Linked DNA regions of Solanum lycopersicum. The protein of the gene in region 2 interacts with the protein of the main gene of each other region in a pairwise test. Links are inferred from orthologs where the notes say so. Each region holds a gene or a part of one and is shown on either strand. Other genes may lie near its edges.

Region 1 (6,620 bases), on a different chromosome or scaffold from region 2:
ATATTCATTGATTTTTTTTCCATACTATTCTTACAATTAGTTCTTTTTGAAAGTATCCACACATTTGTAAAGTTCCAAAGAACTTCTCTTAACGGGTGAATTGATAAAATTATCCTCTTATTTATATTTTTTTAATATACGTATAAAAGGAGAAATAATCAATCAATATGAAATGAAGGGGAACTACAGTAACAAGAAGGACTATACTCCATCTGTTCAATACCAGTTGACACATATATTAAGAAATTATGAATAATAAAATAATTTTACTAATTCACCTCACTAAATAAATTTTACAAATGAATACGAACACTTCTAAAGAAAATTAATCGCATGATCAACTAATATTAATATTATTTGGGAGAGGAAATAAAATGACAAAAAGGTGGGAGTGGTATAAAGTACATATTATGCATAGAATTCCGTTTGGATGAGTAAAAAGCTTGTTATAGTTGTGAGAGCCACGCTTAGCCTTGGGAATATCGAATCCTAAAATACAAAAAGTTGGATGCTCTATGTCTCTTTGTCTCATTCCTAAAGAGAAGCTTCCAAATATCCCTATCTTTAATTTATTTTATTTTATTTTTGCTCAAATAAAAGATAAAGAATATATTCTCAACTACTATCATTTTCTTTACTTTTTTTTTCTACTTTGGTTTTCTTTGACTGGCAAATAAACCAAAGATCAAACCATCCTCTTTCTACTTTTTTTTTTTTTGGTTATACAATCATGAATAATTAGCCTAAAATGTAAGTTCCCAATAAAACGGTTAATCTCATGATGATCATTTTGCGGTACCAAAAAAATCATTATTGGGACCTTAAACTTTTTAAAAGTTTAAAGAGAAAATAAAAAACAACTTAGGCTAACATAAAGTGGTATGTTTAGATTAAACAAAGGATTGAAGGACTATTGAATGATGTACAAATTTTAAACATTTAGTACTTTCTACGTTTTATTTTATATGACTTAGTTTGATTTATACATATAGTCTAAAATAAGTAATAGATATTTTCACGGCCAAAAATCATTTCATTCGAAATAAAAAAATATTATTCTTTTTAGACCTGATTAAAAAAAAAATCATAAAAATGATAACATACAAATATATCCATGTATATTTATTTATAAAATTAACAATATATATCAAAATTTACACTATTATATTCGTAATTTCAAATCTTGAATCAACCGTATACATAAGATGTGCAAAAATACAAAAATGAGAAATGATCAACACGTGCCCGCTATATATGATATGATATCCAACAAATTAAATTACATATATATGTAGATTGTTTTAAAAAATGATGGTGCCCTTCAATATTGTAATAATTAGGTAATTAAAATAAGGTATGCCCATGTCACGTGATACGTTATAGTAAAGTGAATTCATTGATATGCATGGTGACCAACAATTATTGTTTCTCCTAAGTATAATAATAAGAGTAATAGTAATAGTAATACTATCGTACAATATATTATAAACTCGATAAATTAGAAAAAAAAGTTCCAATGTAAAAGATTGTCTAAGTTTTTACCCGAAAACAGAATTTCGTCCACCTTGAGCACTCAAACTCGAAACCTGGGCAGCTCTTCTTGGGGAAGGCCTCTCTGGTTTCGTGTCAAACTTCTTGTCATCTTGTAGTAATGGCTTAGACTCGTACATATCAGACACCGAATCAATCTCAGGATTGCAACTCCTCTCCATCTGAATAATTTGATGATCGTCTTCATTATTAGAACCTAAACACGAACCACCTCCACCTAAATAAGTAAAATGATCATCATATATATAGTCTGTTCTCTCTAACAGCTTAAATCTCATAATCGCTCAATTTCAATAAGTAAATGATCAATCATATATAGTATGTTCTCTCCAACAGCTGAAATCTCATAATCACACAATGTCACCAAGTAAATGATCATCATATATAGGACGTTCTCTCTAACAGCTTAAATCTCATAATCGCTCAATTTCAATAAGTAAATGATCAATCATATATAGTATGTTCTCTCCAACAGCTGAAATATCATAATCACTCAATTTCACTAAGTAAATGATCATATATATATATATATATATATATTGTTCTCTCTAACAACTGAAATCTCATAATCACAGAATTTCAATAAGTAAATGATCATGTATATAGTATGTTCTCTCTGACAACTTAAATTTCAATACATACCTAACTCATGTAGACGAAAATCATCTGACCACATAAATGGACTCTTTCCATTGCTAGTATTGTAAGGGCTAGCCCTTTTCTTTCCAAGAGACAAGTTATGATCGGTTGAAGTATTGCTCAAGTTCATGAATCCATCGAAGGATGAGGATCGTTCACCCATGCTACTCTGAGCATGAAGATCGATGTGTTCTCCACATATGTTCAAGTCTTGGAATGATGAGAAAGTTAGAGGAGGGGTTCCAAATTCTTTAAAGGCAGCTGAAATGTCTGGTATTAATCCTCCTTGATGATTTCCAATACCTTTAAAGGTTCTTGTTGGTAATGACATATTTTCTTCTCCACCTAATGTTTGACAAGCTTTTTCTAATATGGTTTGCATGTATTTTCCTTGTGCTTCAATCCTCAATTGAAGGTGTCTTTGTACCTACACCATGCATGAACACATAATTAAATTCCTAAGTTATAATGATGTTATACTCTGTCTGTCTCAATTTATGTGGTACTTTTTACTTTTTTAGTTTGTTTCAAAAAGAATGTCACCTTTTCGTACTTAGGAATAATTGAACTTTAAAATTCTTCTTTTATCTTTGATGGAATGATTTAAAGTCATAAAAATATGCAAGGTTTGTTTTAGGCAATAAATTTCAAACGTTTAAAAAAAAAGTGTCAAAATCAAACGATGTTACATAAATTAAGATGAAGAGAGTAATGGTTGAACCTATTAATTAACTTTAAAATTCAAGATCCGCATCTAGTTTCGGTAATACTAGAAAATTATATCACTTTGATGAAAAATAAAAGAAGAATAGAGAGATTGAAATATATAATTACCTCCAATTGTTCATGCAGCCTTCTTTGCACCTCCATTTGCATCCTAATTCCATCAGATATGTGAAAGTTAATACTTACACCATTTCATGTATGCCATATAATTACTTTACGAGTGTTGATGACAATAACTTGTATTGTCACACAATTCAGCGAAAAAATCAAAATTTTCATTAAAATAATTTTTAACCTATATATTTTCTATAAATTTTTCTTTTAAAATGTGTTAAACAAACACTCTTCACATCACCACTAATTAAACCACCCAATCTAATAGAATTAAGCAATTATTAGAAGAAGAATAAAATAAAAAGAAGATGTCAATATTGTTAAAATTTCTACCTTTCATACTAGAAGATTTAATTTATATTAAAGTTTGATTCACATCACACCCTCTCATACACTTGAAAAAGAATTTGAAACAAGAAAAGAAAAGAAAGGGACTAGTAGTGTAAACACCCTTCAAAGAAACAATTCCTAATAATTATTAAAGTGAAAGCAAACTAAAAGAAGCTATAAACAAGATGAAATTTAATTTATATACTAAAGTTTAAAGTGAAATTAACAAGAAAAAAAATAACAACATACTCATTCATATTACGTCCGATCATTCCAGATGAAGATGCTGAATTTCTTTGTAGTTCTAAACTTGTAGCTGCAAGTTAATTAAACATATTAATATACACTTATACAAAACAAAAAATTCATTTAAGAACACGAATCAATAATACCTCTATCGCCATCCTTCACTGAGTGATCGTTAAATTCTTTGTGTGGTTGTTTTCCCAGTCTAAATTTCTACTCATAAAAACAAAAAAAAACAATTAGGTTATGAAATGATCAAGCTAAAAACATTCAGAGGTAGATCTTCAATAAAATTAATCGCGAAGATCAAAATTAAACCTGAAGATGACTCTTGAGATGGTAAAGGGTTAAACCCTTAACACCCATAACTCTCATAATAGTTTTAGGTGTTGCCTCTACACAACAAAAAATAAAAATAAAACATATAAGTTTAAATTCTGAATCAACCTCTGATGATGAGTTTACATATAGGGTTAGGTATAGAAAACGTACTATCAGGTCCACCTAACTGAGTAACAGCATCAACGAAGCGTTCATGAAGCTCAACTGTCCAACGAAGACGAGGTTTTGGATCAGTGGTAAGGACGAGACCAGAGTCACCTTGAACACACATAGGTCTATCATGAGAATTCATAGTAGAAGGTTTCTTGGCATGGAACATTCTCTCTCTTTTCTTTTTTTTCTTTTTTTAAAAAAAATTTCTTTGATGTTATTTCTTTCTTGATGGAATACTATGCTAAAGAGATTCAAGAACAAATGCGATATGCAAATAGAATAGGTTTGGTTTTAATTTGAAGAAGAGAACATGCACCTTTTAGAAGAAAAAAAAAATAAAGTGGACAAACCCTTCAATTAAATAAAGATAAAGTCTATGTTGAGTAAAATGTGTATTATACATATTAATCCAACCGTTTCATTTTATATGAGTTAGTTTAATTTGACATGAAGTTTAAAAAAAATAAGACTTTTGAAACTGATGATATAAGTGTTAGATATTTGTGTGATAATAAATCATTTCATTAAGATAAAATGAGCATTTTAAAGTTAAATTGTGACCCGACTTACTTTCTTTTTTAATTAATCCAAAAAATAATGACACATTTTTTTGGTCAGTAACAATTTCCAACAAGAATTGTAGTGGAGTGATAAGTACTCCTTCATCCTTAATCAAGAAGTCTCGCACTTGAGTCCCCTTGGCCCTTGAATATAAAGTCGTCTTTGTTAAAGAGTGTTTACTAATGTGGGACTTCCCGATGCGATATGACTATCAAACACCGGGTGAGAACTTTAATTTATATATTTTACCATTATGAAATAATTTCTACCATACAAGTATTATAACTTATTTTAGATCATAAGTTTCAGAAGTTCTTTTTTCTTTCTTAAATTTCATGTCAAGACAAATTAACTCATATAAATTGAGACGAATGAAATATTTAATATAGAAATATATTATTCTTTTTTAAACTGACTAAAAAGAAAATGAGTCATATAAACCGGAATAATGGAGGAGGTAGTAGATTTATAAGTAGGTAGGGAAAAAAGGTTGTAAAATACTAACATGCAGCTCTACTTTAATTTGGCAAAAGAAAATTAAAGTTCCACTGGTGTAGATGTGGATGTGTATATAGTTAATTACGGTGTATTTTTTTTTTTTTTTGCTTTATTAAAGAAAATTAAAGAGGGACTCGTATAACGTGAGGTGATATAATTTATTATTAATAAATAAATATAGGAGTTAATTAACATCTGGCCTGGGATTGAATTCCTACTTTTTATTTTATTTTTTTTATTGAAAAGGGATTCTAATAACGTGATGTAGTATAAATTATTATACTCATACAATCATAACTAACTTTGCATTTATAGGGATTTGTATTGCTATAATTAAACATATTGTTAGTACTAATTCAGAATGTTACCTCGTTAATCACTGGTACATCGGGAGTTGAAATTGGTTATATTTACTTTGTTTTTATTCATATTATAATATCCTCGGTCCACCTTTATTTGTCATGATTTCTAGTTTTAGAATTTGATTAATATTTTAAGATGTATTTTTTAATCATATTGATATGCAAAAAATTACAATTTATGATGTTTTACATATAATTTTTGAATTTTTTTTTAAAAAAATCAAATTAATGTAATCGAATTTACTTTGAAAATCAATCAAATTGACTTTTGAAAAACATAACATGATAAAAAAAGTGGACGGAGGAAATAGTGGCATAATTTGATATGTAAAATATGTTTTTTTTTTATGTATGTGGATACATAAATCGTTTCATTTAGAATAAAATTAGTGTAAAATTAATATTTTAGAATTAATTATTAATAAAGATGAATGATTTTTTTAAAAAATAAACTTTAAAAAAATGAATTTGTATGTATTAAAACGACGAAATAATTAATTTATAATTACAAATGAAACCGCCCAATATCTAGACAACTTCAAAGGTCAAAAGTTTTATGACCAAAAAACCGTTGAAAATATGATTTGTTTAGTGTTATCACTCGACAGCCATTATTATTGAAAGCTAGTCTGTAAATTGAAGAGAACTTTATCAAACAAAAATCAGATATTCTCGACAGCCATTTCTATTGAAAATTAATATATAAATTAATTCATAGGGGGAAAAAATTGGCCAGAAAATTTAGTGAGGATTTGGGTAAAATGGTAAGACGTTATTTTATCTTTTTTAAATATTTTATTATTTTGATTTTATGTCACGACTCAAACCGGGTTGCGACTGGCACCCACACTTACCCTCCTATGTGAGCGAACCAACCAATCTAACCTTAACATTTCAATATAATATCAACAGAAAGTAATGCGGAAGACTTAAACTCATTAAATAAAGACCAATTCATTAACTTCTAAAATTCAACATCTATTATTCCCCAAAATCTGGAAGTCATCATCACAAGAACATCTACGATCAAATGACTAAACTAAGAGTATTCTAAAAGCTAAAAATACATAAGAAGCTAGTCCATGCCGGAAGTTCAAT
Region 2 (6,703 bases):
TGATTATTTTCTGAGACAAAATTTATAATTCAAAAAACAACTATATGTAAATTTTCAGTTTCATTAGTATTAATAATCTTAAAAATGATTTCTATTTGATCAATTAAATTTAAATAACCTCGATCTATCATATGACATATCAAATGATCTCAACTTTTATCGGAGCATGAAATTCATAAATTTTAATACTTTTTTGTTCATTTTTATTTGTGATGTTACATTTTTTAAAAGTCAAGTTAACTAATTTTTAAAGTTAAATTAGATTATATTTATTTAATATTTTAAACAAAAAAATTTAAATATTTAAAAACTATATGAAAAACACTATAAATTACAAATTTTTGTATATCAATATGATGAATACATCTTAAAATGTTAGCAAATGTTTTTAAAGTTTGATTCTAAAAATAAAACAATAACAAACAATAGTGGACAGACTTCTCGAGTAATAAATAGCTCAGAGAAGTGTTGAAAACACTTTAACTTGATGAAAATTTAGAGGCATATTTCACTCATTCTGCGAGTATTTAAGATCAATTAAACAAGTAAAGTACATTTTTAAGGTTACTAATAATTCAAAAATGAAACTAATCAGTCACGCTAGGAAAGTAGTAGTACCTCCTTGATCATACATTAAAAAGCAATTTTGAAATATTAACCTCTATTATCTAGTGACACAGGCAGTTTGTTGTACAACCTCCAACAATAATTAGTACATCAAAAAAACTATGTCCCATCAAAATTTGGATGGATAAGAAACGCCGTATATATTTTTTTCTTTTTGCTAGCATTTGAATCTAAATTTTAATCATTTTCTCCAATTTCATTAGTTAATTAATCTACTAGACCATAACTCTTTGTAGTAGCTACATATGCCTTTCATTAGCGTATCACATTTTTCTACTAGTAACAAACTCATGGCCCATTATGCAACTTGTACTACGACTTGCTCAGCAATTCAAAGAGGCAGTAGTGATCAAAGCGCACTACGGATGGTCCAAAAATTAGAGCAAAATAACATTTTTTTTCAGTATATGAATTTAGTGTTTCAGTCAAATAATTAGGCCCCCTACCACCTCTATAGTTTTGTAAAAGAGCACGGCTCTTGTTCATCATCAACAACTGCTGACAGGAACTGATATTAGGTGAGTGAAAGAAAGAAAGGTACTATTCTGAATTCATTTTAGAGTGAAAGAGACTCCCATTAATTCATTGCCATATAATCAAAGTTTGGTACTATTATTTCTACTACAGAACTTACCAAAAAGGAATAGACTTTACTAGAGTGTAAGGCTCTTCCTGAATGAAGGACATGGCAAAAGTCAGTAATAAAACACCATTTCCTCATGAAAAAAAAGAACTGTTTTTATTTCTCTAGCTAGGCTAAGCTAAGTCCACAGGTTTTGGCTTAAAGTCTTTGTCAATGGAACTTCCATTACAGAACCTGAGAGAAAAGGACCTTCTTTCTTTTGGACTAATAAAACCTCTTATAATGATTGAATCGTTTACTCAATTAAGCTTTCACTAAGGCAGCAACAACATGCTATCAATAATTCATCAATAATTCACAAAATTTATGCACAATTACAGTTGATTTCTCCTCCTAATGACACAAACCTAGAAAACTAAATATGAGAACCGAGAGAAGACACTATTCATATAAACAGAGAAGGCTTTAATCTTGAAATTCAAAGTTAAACTTGCTCAAAAATATCATCTTTCTATACTAACTTTTTAATCTACAGAGAGCAATGAAATTTAAATTTAAGCACTTAGAAGAAAGTACCTAACAGAACTGATGTAGAACACAATTAGTGCCATGAAGAAACAGTCAAAAGGGGATTATCTTTCCAAGCCAAGGAGAGAAACCCAGGGGCAGAATCAATTAATCCAAATGATGAACTATAATTATAGTTCCAAAGAAGAATTTTTGCTTGACTCATTGCATAATGGCTAAGTGTTACTGGTTTAAAACCAGCCCCTTCCATTAATTCTTTCCAATGTTCTTTATCTTCCATACATTCTCTTCTGGTTCCGCCATCGTCTAGGCCCACCGCTCCGGCAATTCTCCGGCCAAGTATCAGTCTTTCCACTTGTACTCTCTCAGCGGAGTCTCGGGTCAAGCTCGGATCCAATGACTCGAAAATAGTTGAGTAGTATTTCAGTGCGTTCTTAAATCGCTGCAGGAATCCAACATCATTCAAATTCACCTCATACTCACCCAATGTCACAATGCTTGGATTCAATGATTTGGCTAAACTCAGTGCAGTTTTTACACCAACATTTGTTTCGTCCAGTAAATTGTACAGCTGCAACATGAAGTTCACAGCTAAGATTTCATCTGGATCAACTCGAAAACTAGACCCGTTAAGTTCCTGAACTGGAGTCAATATTGGTTCGAATTCGAAGTTAAGATCCAGAAGCTTCGCGAAGTCACGAAGACGATTCCCTGTAGCTAAAAGTGAAGCTGACGGAGAGTTACCCAATACCACTGATGGAATGCCAGAGATTCTAACACTGACTGGTTTACCAGCTGATCTAGTTGCTAAAGCTTGTAAAAAAGCTGCCCATTGGATACCATGAACAATTCCAAAATCTACAATGTGAATCCTCGTTGCTTTTTCAGTTGCTTCAAGAATCGCCTGATTAGCCGTTAAGTGAGCAAACTTTGAGTAGGGACATGCATCATTAAAGGCTTTGTATGACAAAGTGAGCTCCTCCGGCGCAGTACCAAAGATTGACGGAGTTCTCTCTGCTTGACACGACGAAAGCCTATTGTAAAGAGCTTCTAAGAAATAGAACCCAACTCGCTCCATTGGATCTCCTTGTTGGGAAACTGATTCCCTTAGTCGAATCAATGATTTTACTACATTTTCAGGCTCTGATTCAGCGAGTCTTGCACATTCCACCAAGGATTTCAACAATGGTTTTGACGAAAAACTTTCAGGGGAACTACATGGCTGCACATCAACTGATACCACCTTGGATTCTTTGCTCGCGGGTTGAACAATTGGAGGAGGAGATGAAGATGGTGCGACCCATGGAGATGTCTGTGGTTGTAGTGGGCTTAGATTTTTCTGGGTTTCCGAAAAAATGACCCCATTGAGATCGGAAGAAGGTGGAGGCGGAGGAGCAGAACCGATACTGAGTCGATTCGGACAACTCGGGAACGGATCTCCGTAGAGGGTAGTGAATTCGGAACTCGTCTGCCAGGCTTCGCAACCAGATTGAAGATTAGAGCTTCCGGTAGAATCTCCGCCGCCTATCAAGCTCTCCATCCACTCATCTGAGTCAAACTCACCACCCGGTCCACCGCCGAAATCAGCAAACCTAAACCCGGTCGAATGATGTTCCAAGTTAGGGAACTGAAATCCCGGCTCGGCGCTATCTGTTCCTCCGGCGACCTGAAATGGGTCTGCAAAACCCGACCCGGTAAGTCCATATCCTAAAGTGGGGCTATTAGTTAAGGTCTGGTGATTGGAAGTCCATGGGCTGAGACACAAAGGATTAACACCCAAGAATTGTTGTTGCTGCTGCTGCTGTTGCTCTTGCTGTTGGAGCTGCTCCTGCTGCTGCTTTTGCTTTATGACTTGCTGAGCAATTGCCATTAGATTCCCACTGTCCGTACACATATAGGCCATTCTCCACACCAAATCTTACTAAGCTACACTACTCACACATTACCTCAACAACAACAGTTATAAGAAGAAATTGGTGAGCAAGTTTTGAGTGGACTAACAGAGTAGCCCCAAGAAGAGGGAGAGAGTTGAAAAGGGGGTTAGAAGTGCTTAGCTTTAATTGAGAAAAGCTCAGCCTTACAAGGAGGACAAAGTTTTGCTTGAAATGGCTCCATCTGTCACACTATATTAATTTTAATTTGAATCTCCCCTAGGTCAAAAATGTCTATAATTTCTTTCAATTGGAGTATTATATTTTTAATTTAAGTATTCAGCTCGTATATAATATCAAAAACTTTCATTAAATTTGAATCGCAAATTACAATAACAATGATATGATATCAAGCTTTTATTAATTTTGGGTTACGCACCACGATAACAATAAAAGGTAAATTATTTTACTTTATAATATTATATGTGTCCCTATTTATTTGTTCATATTTTTTTTATATTTATTTTTATTTACTTGTCTATTTTAATAAATTAAGAAAGGATAATAATTTTTTCTTAATATGATTTTATTTAATTCTAGAAAACTTTTCATACTACTAAATTGTAATGCATGCTTTTGGAAATTAGAAAATATATTTATTATATTTCGAGAGTTGCATAATTTTTTAAGTTAAGAATAAAATAATAACAAATTTATGATAATAATTAGTGCCTTAATATATGTGTCATAATTTTTTAAGTTAAGAATAAAATAATAACAAATCTATGATAATAATTGGTGCCTTAATATATGTGTCACTTTTAAAATGAGCAACTAAATAGTATCACTTCTAAAGTGTACGACTAAATACGAACTGATTGAGTATTATTTTTATATATAAAAGAAGTTGTATTTTAAGTGATAACTGATGCTATTCTTTCAAATTATTATTCTTTCACAGTTTTATTGGACACTTGAAACTCGGCATACCCAAATTTATCACAACTTGCTTTATTTGTTCATCAAAGAAACAACAAAAAATAAAATAAAATTGTGGAATGGTTCATAAAATTAATATTTTATGAACAAAATTTAAAATATAAATAATTTTTCTAATTGTTTTTGTGGGGAACAAATGAAACTATTTGAGTAGTTGTTATGTGTAAATTTTTAAAATTACATATACGTTTAGGACAAAGCCGAGTATGATAGGTAGAAGCGGGTTTAATTAATTTTTTTTTAAATTTCATTCGATAAAAATAAATACGTAATAAATAATAATTAAATTTTTTTTATAAGCGAGCATATGATAATTTCGAGCCTTAACTGGCAATTGAAGATGTTGTCTTATGGACCCTAATCAAGAAATTAGAAATCCTCCAAATTAATAACTCAACACTGAAAGGGTACGTGTGAACTGCTGACAACAAATTCTCAAACAATTTGCAAACAAACAGAAATTATCAAACTTAAATGAAGAAGAACGAAACCAAAGTACACATAGTGATTCTATCAATATGTTAGATAAAAAGTCCAGTTACTCAAAGTCACGAATAACAACTCAAAATTCAACAAAAAAAGATGAAAAGCCAAAAAAATAATGATATACTACAGAGAAACTCGGTAGAATTCGCATCTACAAGCTCTAATAACTTCCTTTAAAATCATGTTTTGTATGTGTTTAAATGGTACAAACATGCTCACTAACAAAATATATTTTTAATAAACAAAAATGGTAATACGCACTCAACAATAATATGTCAAGCACGACATGTCACACAACGTATGACATTTTATGCTAAAAAGGCTTTTTTCGAGACTTTTGATTTCTGAAAGCTCTGGACCAAAATTATTTTGTCAAATTCTCTCATGCTAACTTTATTCTCCATCTCGCTTAATTTTATGTTGATTATTACTTAAATTTTAAAACTTTATTTCATTTTTATAAGCTTCAAAATTTATTTTTCTAATATAAATTATATATTGATGTTCAAATTCTGATTCAAATACAATTAAAATAATATAATATAACACAAAATCTAAAGAAAAATATATATTTTCTGGCCAAATGCCAGCCGTCAAATAATCAAAATTAAGAGTAAGACACGTAGGGCATTAAATCGTTACAATAGACTTGATTTCCTAAGAAGATCCAACATAGTTAACCCGTTAGCCTTATGGGATGGACCGCCTAAAAAGATACAAGAACTATAATCGAAACTAAACTCAAGTAACATATAATATATATTTATTTATTTTAAAATTTTTACTAGAACAATAATCGAAACTAAACTCATGTATAGCTATTTTTTAATAAAAATAAAAAGATATCAGTATGAATAAGCATAAACAGGAAAGACTTTGTCTTACCAATTCTCATGAAGTATCTAATCTTTACTGATTAATAAAGTATTAAGAAAATAAGAGCTTAAAAAAATCAAGTATTTTGAAATCACCACAAAATTTGTATAATACGATTCAAGATGATATTATGATGAGAATGCTTAAATAATATAAAAATATGACAATCAAAAAGATGATTAAATAATCAACCTCAAACTTTTTATTACGAAATCACGAATAAAAAAAATAATTACTGCTCATCAAAAGTAACTCGAGGTATTGTTCTCTTTTCTTCTTCTTTAAACATATCCCACAACACTTGACAATTTATACATTCTTTATGTATTTATTGGAGCTTTGTTGAACCCACTTTATTACATTGACATTGTTTTGTTTTGTCTGACACATCAATAAGTGTCTTGAAACAAATTCCTTACGCACTTTACCGTCCCAACCATTTTGCCTTCTATGTGTCTTCTTTTTTTTCTTTCCTTGCTTCTTCTTATTTGTTGCCTATGTGAGAAATGCAATGCATATGTCCGGCTCTTTCTCATACTCATCAAGAGAATTCTTGCCCAAATTACATTTGTCACTTAAAATCCTTTTTATTCATTCTTTTTTTTGTTTATAATCACTCATTTAGGCACAAATATAGAAGCTTCTGAATTAAATTTGCTATTCATAGCAGTTTATGAACCCTACTCTTCTTGGACTATATTGATATCGTTCTCTTTTGACCTTACTATTCACC

What was found. The genes of interacting proteins can lie anywhere in the genome.
Region 1: the proteins of SCARECROW-LIKE protein 7 (region 2) and myb family transcription factor IPN2 interact in binary tests that used the Arabidopsis thaliana proteins (3 or more experiments, as listed by UniProt). The link is inferred for Solanum lycopersicum from reciprocal best matches to the Arabidopsis thaliana genes AT5G66770 and APL.

Annotation. Positions count from the first base shown.
Region 1 is NC_090811.1:7,167,126-7,173,745, reverse strand, and holds myb family transcription factor IPN2, read right to left. Parts: upstream 4,471-6,620; 5' UTR 4,268-4,470; coding exon 4,099-4,267; intron 4,002-4,098; coding exon 3,925-4,001; intron 3,820-3,924; coding exon 3,753-3,819; intron 3,677-3,752; coding exon 3,610-3,676; intron 3,068-3,609; coding exon 3,025-3,067; intron 2,618-3,024; coding exon 2,194-2,617; intron 1,769-2,193; coding exon 1,539-1,768; 3' UTR 1,378-1,538; downstream 1-1,377. UniProt on the Arabidopsis thaliana protein: Transcription factor required for phloem identity. Has a dual role both in promoting phloem differentiation and in repressing xylem differentiation during vascular development. Regulates the expression of the transcription factor NAC045 (AC A4VCM0).
Region 2 is NC_090801.1:64,559,739-64,566,441, forward strand, and holds SCARECROW-LIKE protein 7, read right to left. Parts: upstream 3,949-6,703; 5' UTR 3,642-3,948; coding exon 1,812-3,641; 3' UTR 1,655-1,811; downstream 1-1,654. UniProt on the Arabidopsis thaliana protein: Probable transcription factor involved in plant development.